Saccharomyces cerevisiae S288C: one gene and its partners. The gene in region 1 interacts genetically with each later gene. Each region holds a gene or a part of one and is shown on either strand. Other genes may lie near its edges.

Region 1 (5,664 bases):
ATTTGCTGTAGAAATTTGCGAAGCTGTTAAGAAGGCTTGGGAACCTACCGAGGAAAATCCAATCATTTTCAACTTACCTGCTACCGTAGAAGTTGCCTCTCCAAATGTTTATGCTGATCAGATTGAATACTTCGCTACCCATATTACTGAGCGTGAGAAGGTTTGCATCTCTACACATTGTCACAATGACCGTGGTTGCGGTGTCGCCGCCACAGAGTTAGGTATGCTTGCAGGTGCCGACCGTGTAGAAGGATGTCTCTTTGGTAATGGTGAACGTACAGGTAATGTGGACTTGGTTACTGTTGCTATGAATATGTATACCCAAGGTGTTTCTCCTAATTTGGATTTCTCTGACTTGACCTCTGTCCTAGATGTGGTTGAGCGTTGTAATAAGATCCCAGTATCGCAAAGAGCACCATACGGCGGTGACTTGGTCGTTTGTGCCTTTTCCGGTTCTCACCAAGACGCCATTAAGAAGGGTTTCAACTTACAAAACAAGAAGCGTGCTCAAGGTGAAACTCAATGGAGAATCCCATACTTGCCATTGGATCCAAAGGACATTGGCCGTGATTACGAAGCTGTCATCAGAGTCAACTCTCAGTCTGGTAAAGGTGGTGCCGCTTGGGTTATTTTGAGATCTTTGGGTTTGGATCTACCAAGAAACATGCAAATCGAATTTTCTAGCGCCGTTCAAGACCATGCTGACTCCTTGGGTAGAGAACTAAAATCAGATGAGATTTCCAAGTTATTCAAAGAGGCTTACAACTACAATGACGAACAGTACCAAGCTATTAGTTTAGTCAATTATAATGTTGAAAAATTCGGCACTGAACGTAGAGTGTTCACTGGTCAAGTCAAAGTAGGCGACCAGATCGTCGATATTGAAGGTACAGGTAATGGTCCAATCTCTTCTTTGGTCGACGCCCTATCAAACTTGTTGAACGTGAGATTTGCCGTAGCAAACTACACAGAGCATTCTCTAGGTTCTGGTTCTTCTACGCAAGCTGCTTCTTACATCCATCTATCGTATAGGCGTAATGCCGACAACGAAAAGGCCTACAAATGGGGTGTAGGTGTCTCCGAAGATGTCGGTGATTCTTCAGTGAGAGCCATCTTTGCCACCATTAACAATATTATCCATTCTGGTGATGTGTCCATTCCATCTTTGGCCGAGGTCGAAGGTAAGAATGCTGCGGCATCTGGCTCTGCATAAGAACTTTTCTGTATTTCAGGACTTATTCGCTTCTATTTATTTCTATACTTATTTATTTACTTCCTTTCCTTTTTTTTTAACCATATAATTACTAGAAGCACGGATGTCTAAATTAGAATTACGTTTTAATATCTTTTTTTCCATATCTAGGGCTAGTGCTTGTTTTTCTTTTTTTAGTATATTCTTGAACCAAATACGTGTGGGGTGACCCGAAACTTGTTTGGCGGTTAGTGACGAAATTGAAACAAACCTGGAGTTATTAAGAGAGATTTAACTGGAAAACTAGGCATAAAGGACAATAAGTACTCGCTTCATATAGTCTCAACATATTTTTGTTCGCAGAATTGGTGACAAAGGCCACGCAAAGGCAGCAGAATCAAAAACAAATACTCAGTAGCTATGAAAATACTCCTATCGAAACAGCAAACTAGAAAGATAGCAATAGTTTCAGAAACACATGGACTGGTATTTAGGCCAATAAACAGTAAGAACTCTCGCAGATCTACATGTGCCGTGGAATTGGTTCCGAAAGCTGAATTAAATGGTAATGGTTTCAGAAGACTATCTAACCATGAAATATACGGTTTTATTGGTCTCATAGAAATTGAAGGCCTTATGTTCATAGCAACCATAACAGGTAAATCTAAGGTGGCCCAGCCGATCCCAAACAAAACGGTTAACAAAATATATGCTGTGGATTTTTTTTGCTTAAATAATTCTAAATGGGATTTCATGGACATCGATTCATCCGGTTATCCGATTGTTACTAATGATGGAGATTTTGCAATAAGCTCGCCTCCTAGTATTTCCACACATTCTTCTAGATCATCGCTACGTTCTTCTTCCTCTAGGAGTTTGAATGCTCAAGAACAAGCTCCCAAGCATCCATGTCATGAACTAAGAAAGCTATTATCAAATGGATCTTTTTATTACAGCACCGATTTTGATTTAACTTGTACATTGCAGAAACGTGGATTCACGGAACACTCTTTGAGTTTTGATGATTTTGACCGGGAGTTTATGTGGAACTCGTTTCTTATGGACGAAATCATCACATACAGAGACAGACTAGATGTAACGGCCAAAGAACTATTGGATCAACGAGGATTCCTCACGACCGTAATCCGAGGGTTTGCTGAAACAATTTTTAGCTATATTAATAGGTTGAAAGTAGGACTTACCATTATTTCCAGGCAAAGTTGGAAAAGAGCAGGCACAAGGTTTAATGCACGTGGTATAGATGATGATGGCCATGTCGCAAATTTTGTTGAAACAGAAATGATTATGTACTCTTCTCAGTATTGTTATGCTTTCACGCAGATAAGAGGAAGCCTTCCAATTTTTTGGGAGCAGGATACATCTTTGATTAGTCCAAAGATTCAAATTACCAGATCTGTTGAAGCAACACAGCCCACGTTTGATGAACATTTTATAAGACTATTTAAGAAGTATGGGCCAGTTCATATAATCAACCTGCTGTCTACTAAATCTTCAGAAATTCAATTATCGAGGCGATACAAGGAACAGTTGAAAAATTCTGAGAAAATGAAAATCGGTAGAGATGTGTTCCTAACAAGCTTTGATTTCCATAGAGAAACTTCGCAAGATGGGTTTGCAGCTGCAAGTAGGATTATCCCTAAAATAAGAAACACAATTTTGGACGCCGGTTACTTTTCATACGATGTAAAAGAAGGGCGATTAATATCCGAACAAGACGGTGTCTTTAGAACCAATTGCTTGGATTGTTTAGATAGAACAAATTTGATCCAACAGACGATTTCACTGGCCGTTTTCAAACTATTTTTGGAAGACTTCCGATTGGTAAAACCCAGTAGTTTCATCGACGATAATGAATTTGTGCAAAAGGTGAATGCTTTATGGGCCGACAACGGAGATCAGATATCACAAATTTACACTGGGACAAATGCTCTGAAATCGTCCTATTCAAGGAAAGGTAAAATGTCTTTTTCTGGCGCCCTTTCTGATGCGACGAAGTCCGTTAGTAGAATGTACATCAACAATTTTGTAGATAAAGGAAAACAGCAAAATATTGACACACTTTTGGGCAAACTACCGCACCAGCAAGTTGTTGAACTTTATGATCCAATCTGCGAATACGTCAATGAAAGGCTGTTAGAGTCAGAGGAAAAATTCACCACTCATTCTAACATAAATTTGTTTGTCGGTACATTCAATGTTAACGGAAACTCTCGAAGAGCAGATTTGTCAAAATGGTTATTTCCAATCGGCGATAAATTCAAACCTGATGTCGTTGTGTTAGGGTTGCAGGAAGTTATAGAGTTGACCGCAGGGTCTATCTTGAATGCAGATTATACGAAAAGTTCTTTTTGGGAAACTATGGTTACTGACTGTTTGAATCAATACGAAGAAAAATATCTTTTACTTAGAGTGGAACAGATGTCCTCTCTTTTGATACTATTTTTTGCAAGATCAGATAGAGCCTATAACATAAAAGAGGTAGGTGGGTCTACCAAAAAGACTGGGTTTGGTGGTATTACTGGAAACAAAGGTGCAGTAGCCATTAGATTCGATTATGGGGCAACTTCATTCTGTTTCGTTAATACACATTTATCAGCAGGTGCGAGTAACATTGACGAACGTCGCAATGACTACAACAATATCTACAGGAACATAACCTTTCCAAGATCAAAGACAATTCCACACCATGATTCGTTGTTTTGGTTGGGTGACCTTAACTACAGGATAACTTTGACAAATGATGAAGTTAGAAGAGAATTAAGGGCTCAAAAGGATGGCTATATTGATAGATTGCTTCAATATGATCAGTTGACTCAAGAAATAAATGAAGGAGTGGTATTTCAGGGCTTTAAAGAACCGACCCTCCAATTCCGTCCGACCTATAAATATGATTATGGCACAGATAATTATGATACTTCTGAAAAGGCGAGAACTCCGTCTTGGACTGATAGAATCATATATAAAGGTGAAAACCTGCATCCATTGGCATATTCGGACGCACCTTTAAAAATAAGCGATCATAAACCAGTTTATGCTGCATATAGGGCAAATGTGAAATTTGTTGACGAAAAAGAGAAGCTTAACCTAGTTGAGAAGCTGTATGCAGAATATAAGAATACGCATCCCGAAGCACTAACTACAGGTCCTGACGAACTTTCTCATGCAAGAATGGAAAAACAAAAGGAAAGTATACCCTTAGATGCAACCGTTCAATCAGCGGGCATAAAACTAATTGACCTAGATGATACTTCCTCGTGCGTTTCGCCTCTACTTTCTGGTCCCAGTCCCCAACCGTCTGTTGTTGGCCCTGGAGGACTCAGTAACGTATCACCCGATAAAAGTAAGCTCAATGTGCTTCCTCCGCCTCCTCCTACCTCGAGGCACAATAAGGAACCATCTTCTAAACTTCTTTCCCCTACCAAAGAGATTTCCATTGTCAGCGTATCGCCGCGTAAAGGTGAGAGCAATCTTCCTGCCTTAGAGAGACACAGTACACCCAAACCACTGCCGCCAGTGCCCGCTTTATCTTTATCTAAGCCAGTCTCTTTACAGAAAAGTTCTTCAGAATTACAGCATGCTAAAGAGACCATAGATAATGGGAAAATTGTTCCTCGACCTTGTCCTCCTATTAGAAGGAAGAGCAGTACTGCCCCGGACGAAATCTCTACATCTACCAAAAATTCAGGTGTGTCCACTACAGAAGATCCTGAGCCAGCAAAGGCCTCCACAAAACCTGAGAAGCCACCAGTTGTCAAAAAACCGCATTATTTAAGTGTTGCTGCTAACAAGCTTAACACCTCTCAAGAACACTCAATAAAAGTTTCCCCGTCGAATTCAAAATCTGAAGAGGAACTCCCTTGCAAGAAAAAGTCTAAACCAAAAGTTCCTGCGAAGAACCCTGAACTAGAGAAGCTAAGCGTTCATCCATTGAAGCCTTGCGACCCCAATTAAATTGTGTTACTAAAATTACGCATTTATAGAATATGTATCATAACTGTTGTTTAGATGTTTATATGACTCTGCACACATTTCGGTTTTGTGAGCGCCGACCTTTCAAACCATGATCTGTATTACTATGGCTGTTATGAAAATACCGTTGTTCCGGGTGCAGTGATCCTAACTTCCGTTAATGGCTTCTTGTTTTACCAAGTTTTCCAGTTTCTGCTTCAATTCGTCAATTTCCTTGTCAACCTTTTCTATGCCGATCTCTATTCTGTCAATTTCTTCCTGTTCTAATTGCTTGGAGTATACACAATCATCAGTTTTGTTTGAAGGTAACAAATTTCCTGGTCGGCTCATTAAAATTTTGAAAAACTCTTCATTTGGCTCATTGAATACAATTTCATCAAAATACACAGAACTAACTTCTGCATCTTTACTATTATGGTCTGTTGTATTCTGCTCATTTCCATTGTCGGAATTCGGTACAGGATTAGCATAAGGATGAAGTC
Region 2 (2,839 bases), on another chromosome or scaffold:
AGCTGATTCGGGATTTTCCAAATAATTAATAACTACCTGCTTCAATTGTAGCTGATCATTCAGTAAAATGTCGGCTCTAAATTTATCAATGATATTTTCATAGCCCCCAGGTCGTTGTAATATACTACTATCGATAGATATCATAAGATTACCAGTAAAAAGATTGAAAAGCACACCCATTATCAAACCAGTAGATCTAGTAGGGTCCAGACTATTCAAGATAACAAACCTTGAGTTGGTTGCCATAATTTTTTTGTGAAATGGCTTCCTGATGCTTTGTGATTTTTGTTTCCAGTGAGGCATTGATCGTGAGTTTAGAATTTTTGTCATCGTTTCAAATTGGTTTATTAAGATGTTATGCTTCATGACGACGCCAGAAAGACGACCTAGCGGTGTTCTAGTAAACTCTATATATGAAATATTCGGTATATCAAAGGTAGGCGAAGTTTTTTTTGCCTTTGTGTACGTCCCTAAGTCATCAGTCTTGACAAATTTGATTTGCTGGAAAACATCGTTCTTAACCAGTTTAACTTTTGAATGATTTGATGACGAATACAAGTTATCTAATTGTCTATGACATGCGTTAGAAATCAGAACAAATTTCGAATTTGTTACTTTAATTATCTCAAGGATCTCACGCAGAGAATACGTTTCGAATGAGACTGGTACAGCTGCCATGCCGGATATGAAACAGCCTAATAATGCAATAGTAAATTCGATGACATCATTTTTATTGTACCATAGTAAAATCTTATCCATTTTGTAAAGGTGACTCTTATTCAATTCATGTGCTACCCTCTCCGCTTTCAAATAAAGTTTATCCCATGTGATGAACGTTTCTTTGCCTTTAGAATTTATGCTGATCATCGCTGTTTGACCATCATAATGTTCAAAGCGTCCCCGTAAAATTAGCGGTAAAGAATCCGTCATTGCTGAGTCTCCACTGCTAGTATTTTCGGCTCCAGTGTGTCTTGGTAGTAATGGTATCATAGGATTATAAACGGCATCCTTCACTGAACCGTTTTCATCACTGGAACCTGGCAATGACGATTGCAAAGAAGCTGTATATCTCTTGCTCCGCCTTCTGGGAGTATTGTTCGCAGAAGTCGAGTTTATAGTTGTGACACGATAGATAGAATGACGTCTGTCAATTGAATTAGGTAACGACGTAATGGATGATGCAAGACTTGTATTTCTTCTGTGCAAATGTTTCGACTTTCTCGAATTGGGAGATCGAAGCGGGGTATAAGGCCTCATTTGGGAGATTTCAAATTTGTCTAGCAATTGTTTTCTTTTGGTCTCATAACCCTTTCTTGTTAGATTTTCATCCTTATAGTCTTGAATTAACTCATTTAACCGACTTTGCAGATCTAGAGGTAAGGTAGGAGGAATAGAAAAATCCATTGGAGTAACTCAATGCCACACGCTTTTACACAGAACTGAATCACCCTAACACCAAGTTTACGGAAGCAAATGTTAAATCTGTTGAAGCTCTTTTGACTACATTATAAACAGAAATAAAACATACTAGAAAGTAATCGGGTTTTGACGATTTCATCCATTACCCGTCCGAATGATGGCACTTATAAGATAATGAAGATGTACGCAGCATTAAAACCCTATTTGCAGAAGCATAGTAAGACGCAACGTACGCTGAATTAGACTGAGACATTACAGTTGCTTTGACATTGGGAAGATAATTGGGATTTAGAACGGAAAAAAGGAAAAGACAAGCTAATTGTAGAGATGGGCAATTCAATTTCGAAGGTTCTGGGAAAACTATTTGGCTCGAAAGAAATGAAAATTTTGATGCTAGGCCTGGATAAGGCTGGTAAGACAACAATATTGTACAAACTAAAATTAAATAAAATAAAGACGTCTACTCCCACTGTCGGTTTTAACGTGGAAACCGTTACTTATAAAAACGTAAAATTCAACATGTGGGATGTAGGAGGACAACAAAGATTGAGACCTCTCTGGAGACATTATTTTCCAGCCACCACCGCACTTATCTTTGTGATAGATTCTAGTGCTAGAAACCGTATGGAAGAGGCCAAAGAAGAGTTATATAGTATCATAGGTGAGAAAGAGATGGAGAATGTAGTACTGCTGGTATGGGCAAACAAACAAGATTTGAAAGATGCAATGAAACCTCAAGAGGTTTCCGATTTTTTAGAACTGGAGAAAAATTTGAAAAACCAACCTTGGTGTGTCATCGGTAGTAACGCCTTATCCGGACAGGGTCTTGTTGAAGGATTATCCTGGATTTCGAACAACACAAACGTTCCAAAGAAATAAACATTGCATTTATTGGTGTTGAATCTGCATACACCGATTGTTCATCCTTCATTTTTACTGGATTGTACTTTACTAAAAAGAAAACTTCTGGAAAAAAAACAGTATCCAAATAACTAAATAGCTTTAATAATACAATATAAAAAATGGAGACACTGTTGTGAAAAGTCAACCTTTACTACGGTTTCTGTCTTTGCCTTTGATCTGCTCACTTTTCGGTAACTTCAACACTACCGTCAGAATTACCGAAGTAGGCTTTTGAAGCGTTGTCGATGAATAAACCTGTTTCCACCACGCCCACTAACAGTTTGATTTCTCTATGCAATTTTCTTGGATCGGAAATTTCACCGAAATCCGCATCGATAATGAAGTTATTATTGTCAGTTACAACAGGACCTGCTTTAGCAGAACCTCCTTGTCTGATGTCAACTTTTTCAGCATGCAATTGTTCTAATAGATCATTCTTGACCCTCACGTATGAGGAAGGTACAATTTCAATGGGAACACCTTGCCTCCAGTTCTTACCTAAATGTTTTGGTGACTT
Region 3 (4,867 bases), on another chromosome or scaffold:
GTCATTGCGAAACACTTCACATGTTTCATTAAAGCACGAAACGCGAAAAAAAAAAAAAAATAAAAAAAACAAAAATAAAAACAAAAACAAAATGTGTTGAAAGTTAATATACCAATTGATAAATTGAAGCAAGGCCTGGGATGTTAATTGGAAGAAATTTTATCGTAAAAGAATATACAAGTTAAAAAATATAAACCCAAGGTACGTATACTTGGAATATTACACATTCATTATATACATATATATATATATATATATATATAATTAAAAAAACCGTCGATAGAAATTGAACCTTTAAAATAATAGAAAAAAAGAATACAAGATAAATAAAACCTCAAAAAAGTGAAAAAGAGCTAGAAAACCATGCAGTTCTTCAAGAAAAAGAAAAAAAGAAAGGAAAAGTGACACTTGTGGGTTAAGTTTGACGAATACCACTATGAAATCAGATACTACGGTGTAGAAACTCGAAAAAAAAAAAAAGGTAGTGCCTCTAAGGCCTGCTAGCTTTTGTAATTAATGTTCTTAAATCTCACTTGTTCTTGTTGAGATCTTTCATTATCATTAGATTGATCCAAGTTGAAACTGAAGTCATTATTGGTGGTTGGCGCCATTAATACACCCGGAGCTGCACCTACCGAAAAGTTGCTGTTATTATTGTTGGTATTGCTGGAACTACTACTTCCTAATCTAGAATGAGGAAGTGTGGTGTAATTGTAGTTTATGATTGGTTGGTTGGACGGATTCGAACTGTTCACAGAATTGTTAAAATTATTTTGGATAAATTGTGATTGCAACGTACCCATGTCTTTTTGCGTCGGCGAAATCATACTATGTGAGCCCGGATTGCTGTTACTACTGCTGTCAATGTTACCTTCAGGGTTGCCGTTATTTTCAGAATCATTAGCAATAGCATTATTTGCATTTGTATTTGGATTCAAAATTGTGCTCGCAGGATGGTTTTCTGGTGAGGAAATTGTTGATTTTTTGGTTCCTACACCTTTTCCTCTACCTTTAATTCCCCTGTTTGAATTTTTATAAATGGACGCAAAGTACTCCAAAAGTTGCCGCTCTTCAAGTGGAATATTCTCAGATGGATTCATCTCAGCTAATTTTGCCGTTAAGGCATTTAATGTTTCCTTATGAAATCTATTTTGATGGGCCTTCATATTTCCTAGTTGAGTGAAGGTCTTGTTGCAGTTTTCAAGCTTGCAAACAAATGGTTTCAATTTTTGGTGAGTAACCAAGTGAGCAGCTAAGTTCCCTTTCCTAGAAAATTTTTTATCACAAATATCACATGAATACGGTTTTTCACCTGTGTGTAGTCGTTCATGAGTTCTTAAGTTCCCACCCTGAGTAAAACGTTTGCCACAATAATCACAAACGAATGGTTTGTACCCTATATGAGAACGAACGTGAACCTCCAGATGAGTCGCTTGCGAAAAAAGCCGATGACAATAGGGACATTCATGTTTTTTAACTGCTCGTGTATTTTGTGTGCCTTTTGGTTTCTCCACACCACCTACTAGTTCGCTTTTAGGTGGTAAAATGTCCATCGTTTGGTTAAACAGTAAGTCTCCATCTTGAGTGGTATTTACTTTCTCCGTGAAACCTTTCTTTCTTGCTTGAATAATCAACATTAGTTGGTCGACCTTTGTTGCACCTATCAGGTTAGTAGCATCATCACTTACTGAACTTATGTCAGGTATAGGAGGTTCTTTACCAGAAAAGTTTGCCATTGCTGCTCCTTCAGCAGAAGTAGAATTGTCTTTACTCATCGGGGGATCAGTACGGGGCATCTCATTCTTGACGTACACAGTAGAATCATCCTTTTTCCTTTTCTTGATAATATTAGGTTGCATACCAGACTCGTCTATATGTTTGTTCAATCCCTCACTGCCTTCAATTACGTCGTTTTTATCCAATGGTCTTGATATAGCACTAGAGTAATTATCCTCATCATTCAAATGTTTTCGAAGTCTTTGTTCTATTTCTTTTAGATCTTTCCTACTATTGCTTGTGGTATCGGTAGAAGCAAGGCTATGGTCCTCTTGGTTTGGGATATTAGTACTGGTGGCGGAATTAATACTATTGTCGTTATTATCATTATTGTTGTCATTGTTGTTTTCATTGTTGTTGTTGTTGTTGTTGTTGTTATTGTTATTGCTACTGTCATTGCCATCATCATTGTCAACTTCATTACTTTTTCCTTTCATGTTATTGGTAACATTATCCGCGACAGGATCACCATTAGCTTTGTTGTTAACGGATAGTGAGTTTAATCTTGATTCAGGTATAAACGCATTTTGGCTGCTATGGTCCAAAGTACCTCTAACAAAAGAATTCCGCCTTTTGAATTGAAAATCGAAATCTTCAGGATTAAACTTCAAAGAATTATTTCTTGAACTCAAAAAGTACGGGTTCTGATTAGAATTACTGTTGTTTGTACCAGTATTAAAAAATGATTCATAATCTGCATTTGTGTTCATATTCCCACTATTATTGGTGCCATTGGACTGGCTTTTAGTAGTTGCTGCAGGTATTAACAGTGGAGGTCTCATAGAGTTTGATTCTCTTCTACTGCTAGGCTGGAACTGCGGTTGCTGTGACTGCTGCATACTGAAAAATTCAAAATCAGGCCCATCATTAGGTCCAAGATAAACAGAGTTTCTTTTTGAAGGTGGCTGCGAAGTATTATCATTTCTTGGTAAAAATTGATATTGAGAAGAACTTCCCGTTAATCCCGTCGAAAATGAAGGGGTCTTGAAGGGAGGCTGCTGGTGCGACTGCTGTTGTTGTTGTTGCTGCTGTTGCCGATGCTGATTTTGAAGCTGCTGTTGTTGTGGGAAGAGGTTGTTTACAATGGAAAAGCCGCGTCCGATTTGCGACAGGTCTGGCGGTTGATGTGTACTTGAAGTGGATAATCGTGGAAGATTGGAATAGGCGCCGCCAGAACTAGGTCCTCCTGTACTTGTTACTGGTACGTTATCAGATATGTTCAAGAATGAGTTGATAGAGGCGTCCGTGGAATATCGTGGCTGGTTGAAATTTGTATAATATGAAATCGACTCATTCCTTTGTTGTTGATGTTGCGGTTGAGAAGAAGCCGGTTGACTTTGATTAAGAATAGGAGTAGGGCCTTGCCCATGCTCCTGGTTTTGCTCCCCAGCTTCGCCTGATGATTGATTTTGGCTTTCATTTTGTCCCGCCTGCGTAGGGCCCATGAACTGTGCAGTTGGAGGAGGCATGGCTGGTAATTTTTCAATATCTGAATCTTTTGAAGTATATCGCTTGTGTAGCTGTTTTTGTCCCAATTAATTTCTCTGTGGGACCATCTATAGTACTACAAGGTTCCCTTTTCTGATGACTCTTCTTGCTTATGCTTCATTTCTACTGGAATTAAAGGGACCCTTCTTTTCCTCCACTTCTCAAAGAAGCGAAATCGCGGGGCACGGGCGTAATGTTTCTAAATAACGATTAACACTGAATATATCCTTCTACAATACGTAGGGCTATATAAGTCTTGGGATCACCAATTCGTATCCCAGGAGTCTGAATCCCCATCATCATCCCAGCCGTCAACATTTCCTTTCTTGGTTACCGAGCCGCGGATACTACTTATAGGCTTACTTCTTGCAGTTTTATTGGACAGTGACGATTTGGTGGTAACAGTAGAGTTACTAGCAATGTTTCTTGGTGCTAGGATCGTTGTTTTCTTCTTCTTGATAGAAAGCCTTGAGCTAGGAGCGATGGATTTTGCCAACGTTGAATTTTGTGGCCTTGTGTGTTTTTGAGGCACCTTTGATGGGCCGCTTTCATCTTGAATCCAGCCATCATCATTCAACTCATCATTCCAACTTTTATTAATTTTAATAGGTTTTCCGAATAATTTTGGGGTGCTTGCGGTTGTTACAGGGTTTGTTGTTTCATCGAAGGATTCTGTGGTACCATTTGTAATAAAGCCATCGGTATCGCTGAGGTCGTCCCATCCACTTCCATCCTGGGCGGAATCAATTTCGCTCTCGGTAATGTTACTTGGTGTTGTTGCTGAGGGAGAATTTAAACGTAAATTATTTAAAAATTGTGCGGCTAACAAATTGTCTTCTTTATTCATATCCTCTTCATCACAACCGTAATTCTCAAAATCAATATCTTTCACATCTTCCGAATCTGCAGTACTATCGTTTGTTTGAATAAGTTGGGCTTCTTTTTCCAATTTTTCCAGATATTCTTCGAACAGGATTTTGGCTCTGCCTCTTACTATGGGACTTTTATCTAATAAACCAGGGGCAATGACTGTTAAAATTTTGTTGGCGATTGTGTTCACATCAAACAGCTCAATCGACTTCTCAAGCCCATAAAGAGCAGCCAATCTTGGTTTTACTTGAGGATCTTTCAAAGATTTTGTGAACGCCGTAGCTAAAATATTCGAGCGATTACCAACTGACGTTGATAATATGGTTGAGATTTTACTTATTATGATGACTGTCCATGTTCGGATTTCAACGTCAGAATCAACCTGTGTTTTTGCGAGAAACCTCAGTAGCTCATTATTCAGTTGTCTCTCTGTTAAACATGACACAATGCATGGAATTGTCTTCAGTGTTTGTAATCTAAGAGTGGCATCAGAGTCGGTCAGACCTTGGATAAAATGTGGATATATCCTACTGGAGATCTCTGATTTGCTCAATGGACCTATTAATTTGGGTAGGTATATTAGTAAAAGAAATCTTACTTGCCTATCTGGCAGTTTAAAACTTTGGGTGATAAGGTCGTTGAAACCAACTGGAAAGGTGTTCGTTTCAGAAGTTAGGTCTAAAACAATCGCTAAGAATGGTACTAGTTTATGTGATGCGTTGAAGTTCATGCC
Region 4 (3,204 bases), on another chromosome or scaffold:
TCTATAAAATTGGATATGCTATTATATGTGTCTGTCATCTTATTCCTACAATCTATTGTTGCTTTAGTTTCTGTGCACATTTACCAAAAATATTTCTTCGCATGTAGATTTACCTCTTTTCCCCTGTGACGCGTCATCGTTTTTATATCACCTTTGAACAAAGCAATATATCTGTACTCAAAAGGTACAAACGAAAGTTTTGTTCACGAGAAAGAGATATTTTACATGCGAATTAAATCTTGATTGCCTGAATTCTTCACTATTTTATGATTTTTCCCTTCCTTCTTGAAATTTGATTTATATTTAGTCCAAATATTACAGAAAAAAAAAAAAAAGATGCCTAAGCCTTGGGTCTTATTTCGAACAAATCCATCCATCGGTAACAATTCAAAAAAAGAATATTTCGTCTCGAACAATTTGCTAAGTATTGTGGGTAAATGATATATAAATTTTTATAAAAACTCTTGGCCAAGAAAAAAAAAAAAGACTATGTCTAAACGTAACGTTATCATTATTATTAAATCATTTTAATGTTTTATAAGTTTTGTTTTTCATTTCATACCCTTTAAGGAGCATTTGGCATTGTGTGCGCCCTGAAGGCTAAATAAGAATTTGAAGGACTCACCACAGAACAGTATAGCGAATACCAACCGCAGCAACTACTTAAAATTCCAAAATAGCCACCGGCCATTTTGAGATTGTTGTTGTCAATGAAGGTGCCGATACACAGTAGTAGGAAGGTAAGATCCAAAAACGTCAATAGTAAGAACAAACCCCACGTGCTCTTCAATGTACACATCAACATCAAGAAGGTGAAAACGGTCCAGCCCGCAAGGAAGAACCCAATGACATTGTTCAACATTGTGGGATCGGTATAGCCGCTGACCAAATTATCAGTATCTGTTAGCCCATAACCGTAGCAGATCCAGAACCCGCCGAAAGAACTGAACACAGTCATGGCGTATGTGTCCCCAATGACAAAACACAATAACCCGGCAAACAATTCAATGGCACCACCAAAAAACATAAACAAACTTAGCGCCCATTTACCATCAGTGACGCCGCGAACGTTCGCATTAATTAGCGACAGAACTAGACATGACAGAGAAAACGATGCGAGACCCAAAGGAACCGGATTAGCGAACTGGTGCGGAGTATACTTTGCACAGTTTCCTTCCTCCCCATCCCCTCTGTCTAGTGCATTGAGCAAATCTCTGCGCCTGTAGGTGGAGGATCCTAGAGTAATGAAGTCTCTGTCGGAGTATATCTCTTGAATATTAGGGAAGCCCTGCGAAACGCCTGCAATCGAACCCTGCTGGGGGAGCGTCTCAATATTTTCTAGAGTGTTCACACCCTTTTCCAAATCCTGTGGAGAAGAAGCAGACGATGTCATTTTAACCAGTATTTTTATTTTTTATTCTTACTAAATCTTTCTGGGAATGTATTCAGTTATATGTGACCCAACTGTTTATAAAACTGGGGGAATATTAGGCAATCAAGCGAAGCTCATCGATGAGTATTCAATTTGCTAAAAAGTTGTTTTATTTAAATATTCCTTCTGAGTCACGGTCATCGTGAATAGCGTTAAAATTCTCAAATCCATTGGTGTTTCCATTAGGCCCTGAGCGGTTCCCCAAGAAAAAAAAAAACAGTAGAAAAAAATGATGCTTCTTCCTAACGCTATTGTAGTGCAGGTTCTGCCGTGTGCCAAGTTGGAGCAGCGCCTGCTGAGACTCTTCCGTATGGTTCTTGCTCTTCTCAGGACCAGCGGCGGCAGTTCCGGTTTTTTTCGGCGTCTTTTGTCTGGCACACAATGGGCGATGGAGAGGGAAAACCGGAGGATATGCCAGCTGCGGTGAGATTATGGTTGGAGTTATGTTTGTAGCCGGCGGTGCGGCAATAGGAGAGGGGAGGGGAAGGGGAGGGGAAAAGGTAATGGCTGACGAAGTATAGAGATGGCAATCACAAGCCAAATATTGGAGATTACATGCAAGAATGCTACTGTTATACAAAAGGGTGAAAATTGAGACCCAAATTCCTTCCTTTTTTTTCTTTTTTTTTTACCAGAAGAATTACGTACAAAAGTACCTACTATTTCAAAGCAAGAAATGAGATGCCTATTGTGGTTATATACAGAATAGATGATAAATGGGTTTTCCGTGCAAAACGATATGGAGAATTCAAAATGGGTGCGAAATACCTGGAACGTAAGCGTTCTGAGAAATACACAGACGCATTAACCTGACAAAAACACAACTAGTTTGGGAAAGGGATTTGGTCTTTCCTCTCGGGTCTCTCGTGTGGTTCCTTTCTTTCTCAGATCTCCCTGCACACTGGGCTGTTGTCCTCCAGGTTATGGTTTGTTCTCTTCAGGTATTACAATGCAGTAGGCTTTTGGAGTGAGCAAAACGAAGAGAGAAAAAAATTTTTTCTTAAAAGTTTTTTTTCATTTTGTGAGCTTATTCTTCTTTTCTATATATTCTTGATATCTTAGATTATACATATTATTCTCTTACATTTCACGATTGCCCTTTTGGTGTTTAGCATTCAGACTCAAAGACCACAAACACAAACTATAACATAATTGCAAGATGGTTGCTTTCACTGTTGACCAAATGCGTTCTTTAATGGACAAAGTTACCAATGTGCGTAACATGTCCGTTATTGCTCACGTCGATCATGGTAAGTCCACTTTGACCGATTCCTTGGTCCAAAGAGCCGGTATTATTTCCGCTGCTAAGGCTGGTGAAGCTCGTTTCACCGATACCAGAAAGGATGAACAAGAAAGAGGTATCACTATCAAGTCTACCGCTATTTCTCTATACTCTGAAATGTCTGACGAAGATGTCAAGGAAATCAAGCAAAAGACCGACGGTAACTCCTTCTTGATCAACTTGATCGACTCTCCAGGTCACGTTGACTTCTCCTCTGAAGTTACTGCCGCTTTACGTGTCACTGACGGTGCTTTGGTTGTCGTCGACACCATTGAAGGTGTCTGTGTCCAAACCGAAACTGTTTTGAGACAAGCTTTGGGTGAGAGAATCAAGCCTGTTGTTGTTATCAACAAGGTCGACAGAGCTTTGTTGGAATTGCAAGTTTCTAAGGAAGATTTATACCAAACCTTTGCCAGAACTGTTGAATCCGTTAACGTCATCGTTTCCACCTACGCCGATGAAGTTTTGGGTGATGTCCAAGTTTACCCAG

What was found.
Region 2: of INP52 (region 1) and ARF3, extra expression of one rescues a mutant of the other (dosage rescue), as found in Saccharomyces cerevisiae (one study listed by BioGRID).
Region 3: of INP52 (region 1) and AZF1, extra expression of one rescues a mutant of the other (dosage rescue), as found in Saccharomyces cerevisiae (one study listed by BioGRID).
Region 4: mutations in INP52 (region 1) and ATO3 together harm fitness more than expected from each alone (negative genetic interaction), as found in Saccharomyces cerevisiae (2 studies listed by BioGRID).

Annotation. Positions count from the first base shown.
Region 1 is NC_001146.8:420,444-426,107, reverse strand, and holds INP52 (phosphatidylinositol-3-/phosphoinositide 5-phosphatase INP52), read left to right. Parts: upstream 1-1,612; coding exon 1,613-5,164; downstream 5,165-5,664. Other genes in the region: 2-isopropylmalate synthase LEU4, read left to right, coding at 1-1,213; YEATS domain-containing protein YAF9, read right to left, coding at 5,330-5,664. UniProt on the Saccharomyces cerevisiae protein: Dephosphorylates a number of phosphatidylinositols (PIs) like phosphatidylinositol 4,5-bisphosphate (PtdIns(4,5)P2), but also phosphatidylinositol 3-phosphate (PtdIns(3)P), phosphatidylinositol 4-phosphate (PtdIns(4)P), and phosphatidylinositol 3,5-bisphosphate (PtdIns(3,5)P2).
Region 2 is NC_001147.6:501,049-503,887, forward strand, and holds ARF3 (Arf family GTPase ARF3), read left to right. Parts: upstream 1-1,746; coding exon 1,747-2,298; downstream 2,299-2,839. Other genes in the region: CMR2 (Cmr2p), read right to left, coding at 1-1,404; ribose-5-phosphate isomerase RKI1, read right to left, coding at 2,504-2,839. UniProt on the Saccharomyces cerevisiae protein: GTP-binding protein involved in protein trafficking; may modulate vesicle budding and uncoating within the Golgi apparatus.
Region 3 is NC_001147.6:532,453-537,319, reverse strand, and holds AZF1 (Azf1p), read right to left. Parts: upstream 3,246-4,867; coding exon 501-3,245; downstream 1-500. Other genes in the region: COPI-interacting protein CEX1, read right to left, coding at 3,527-4,867. UniProt on the Saccharomyces cerevisiae protein: Transcription factor involved in the diauxic shift. In the presence of glucose, activates carbon and energy metabolism genes, and in te presence of glycerol-lactate, activates genes needed for cell wall maintenance.
Region 4 is NC_001136.10:1,240,639-1,243,842, forward strand, and holds ATO3 (putative ammonium permease ATO3), read right to left. Parts: upstream 1,394-3,204; coding exon 566-1,393; downstream 1-565. Other genes in the region: NKP1 (Nkp1p), read right to left, coding at 1-38; EFT2 (elongation factor 2), read left to right, coding at 2,592-3,204. UniProt on the Saccharomyces cerevisiae protein: Transporter protein required for ammonia export. Induced in rho(0) cells, probably to eliminate the excess ammonia that arises because of a potential defect in ammonia assimilation in those cells.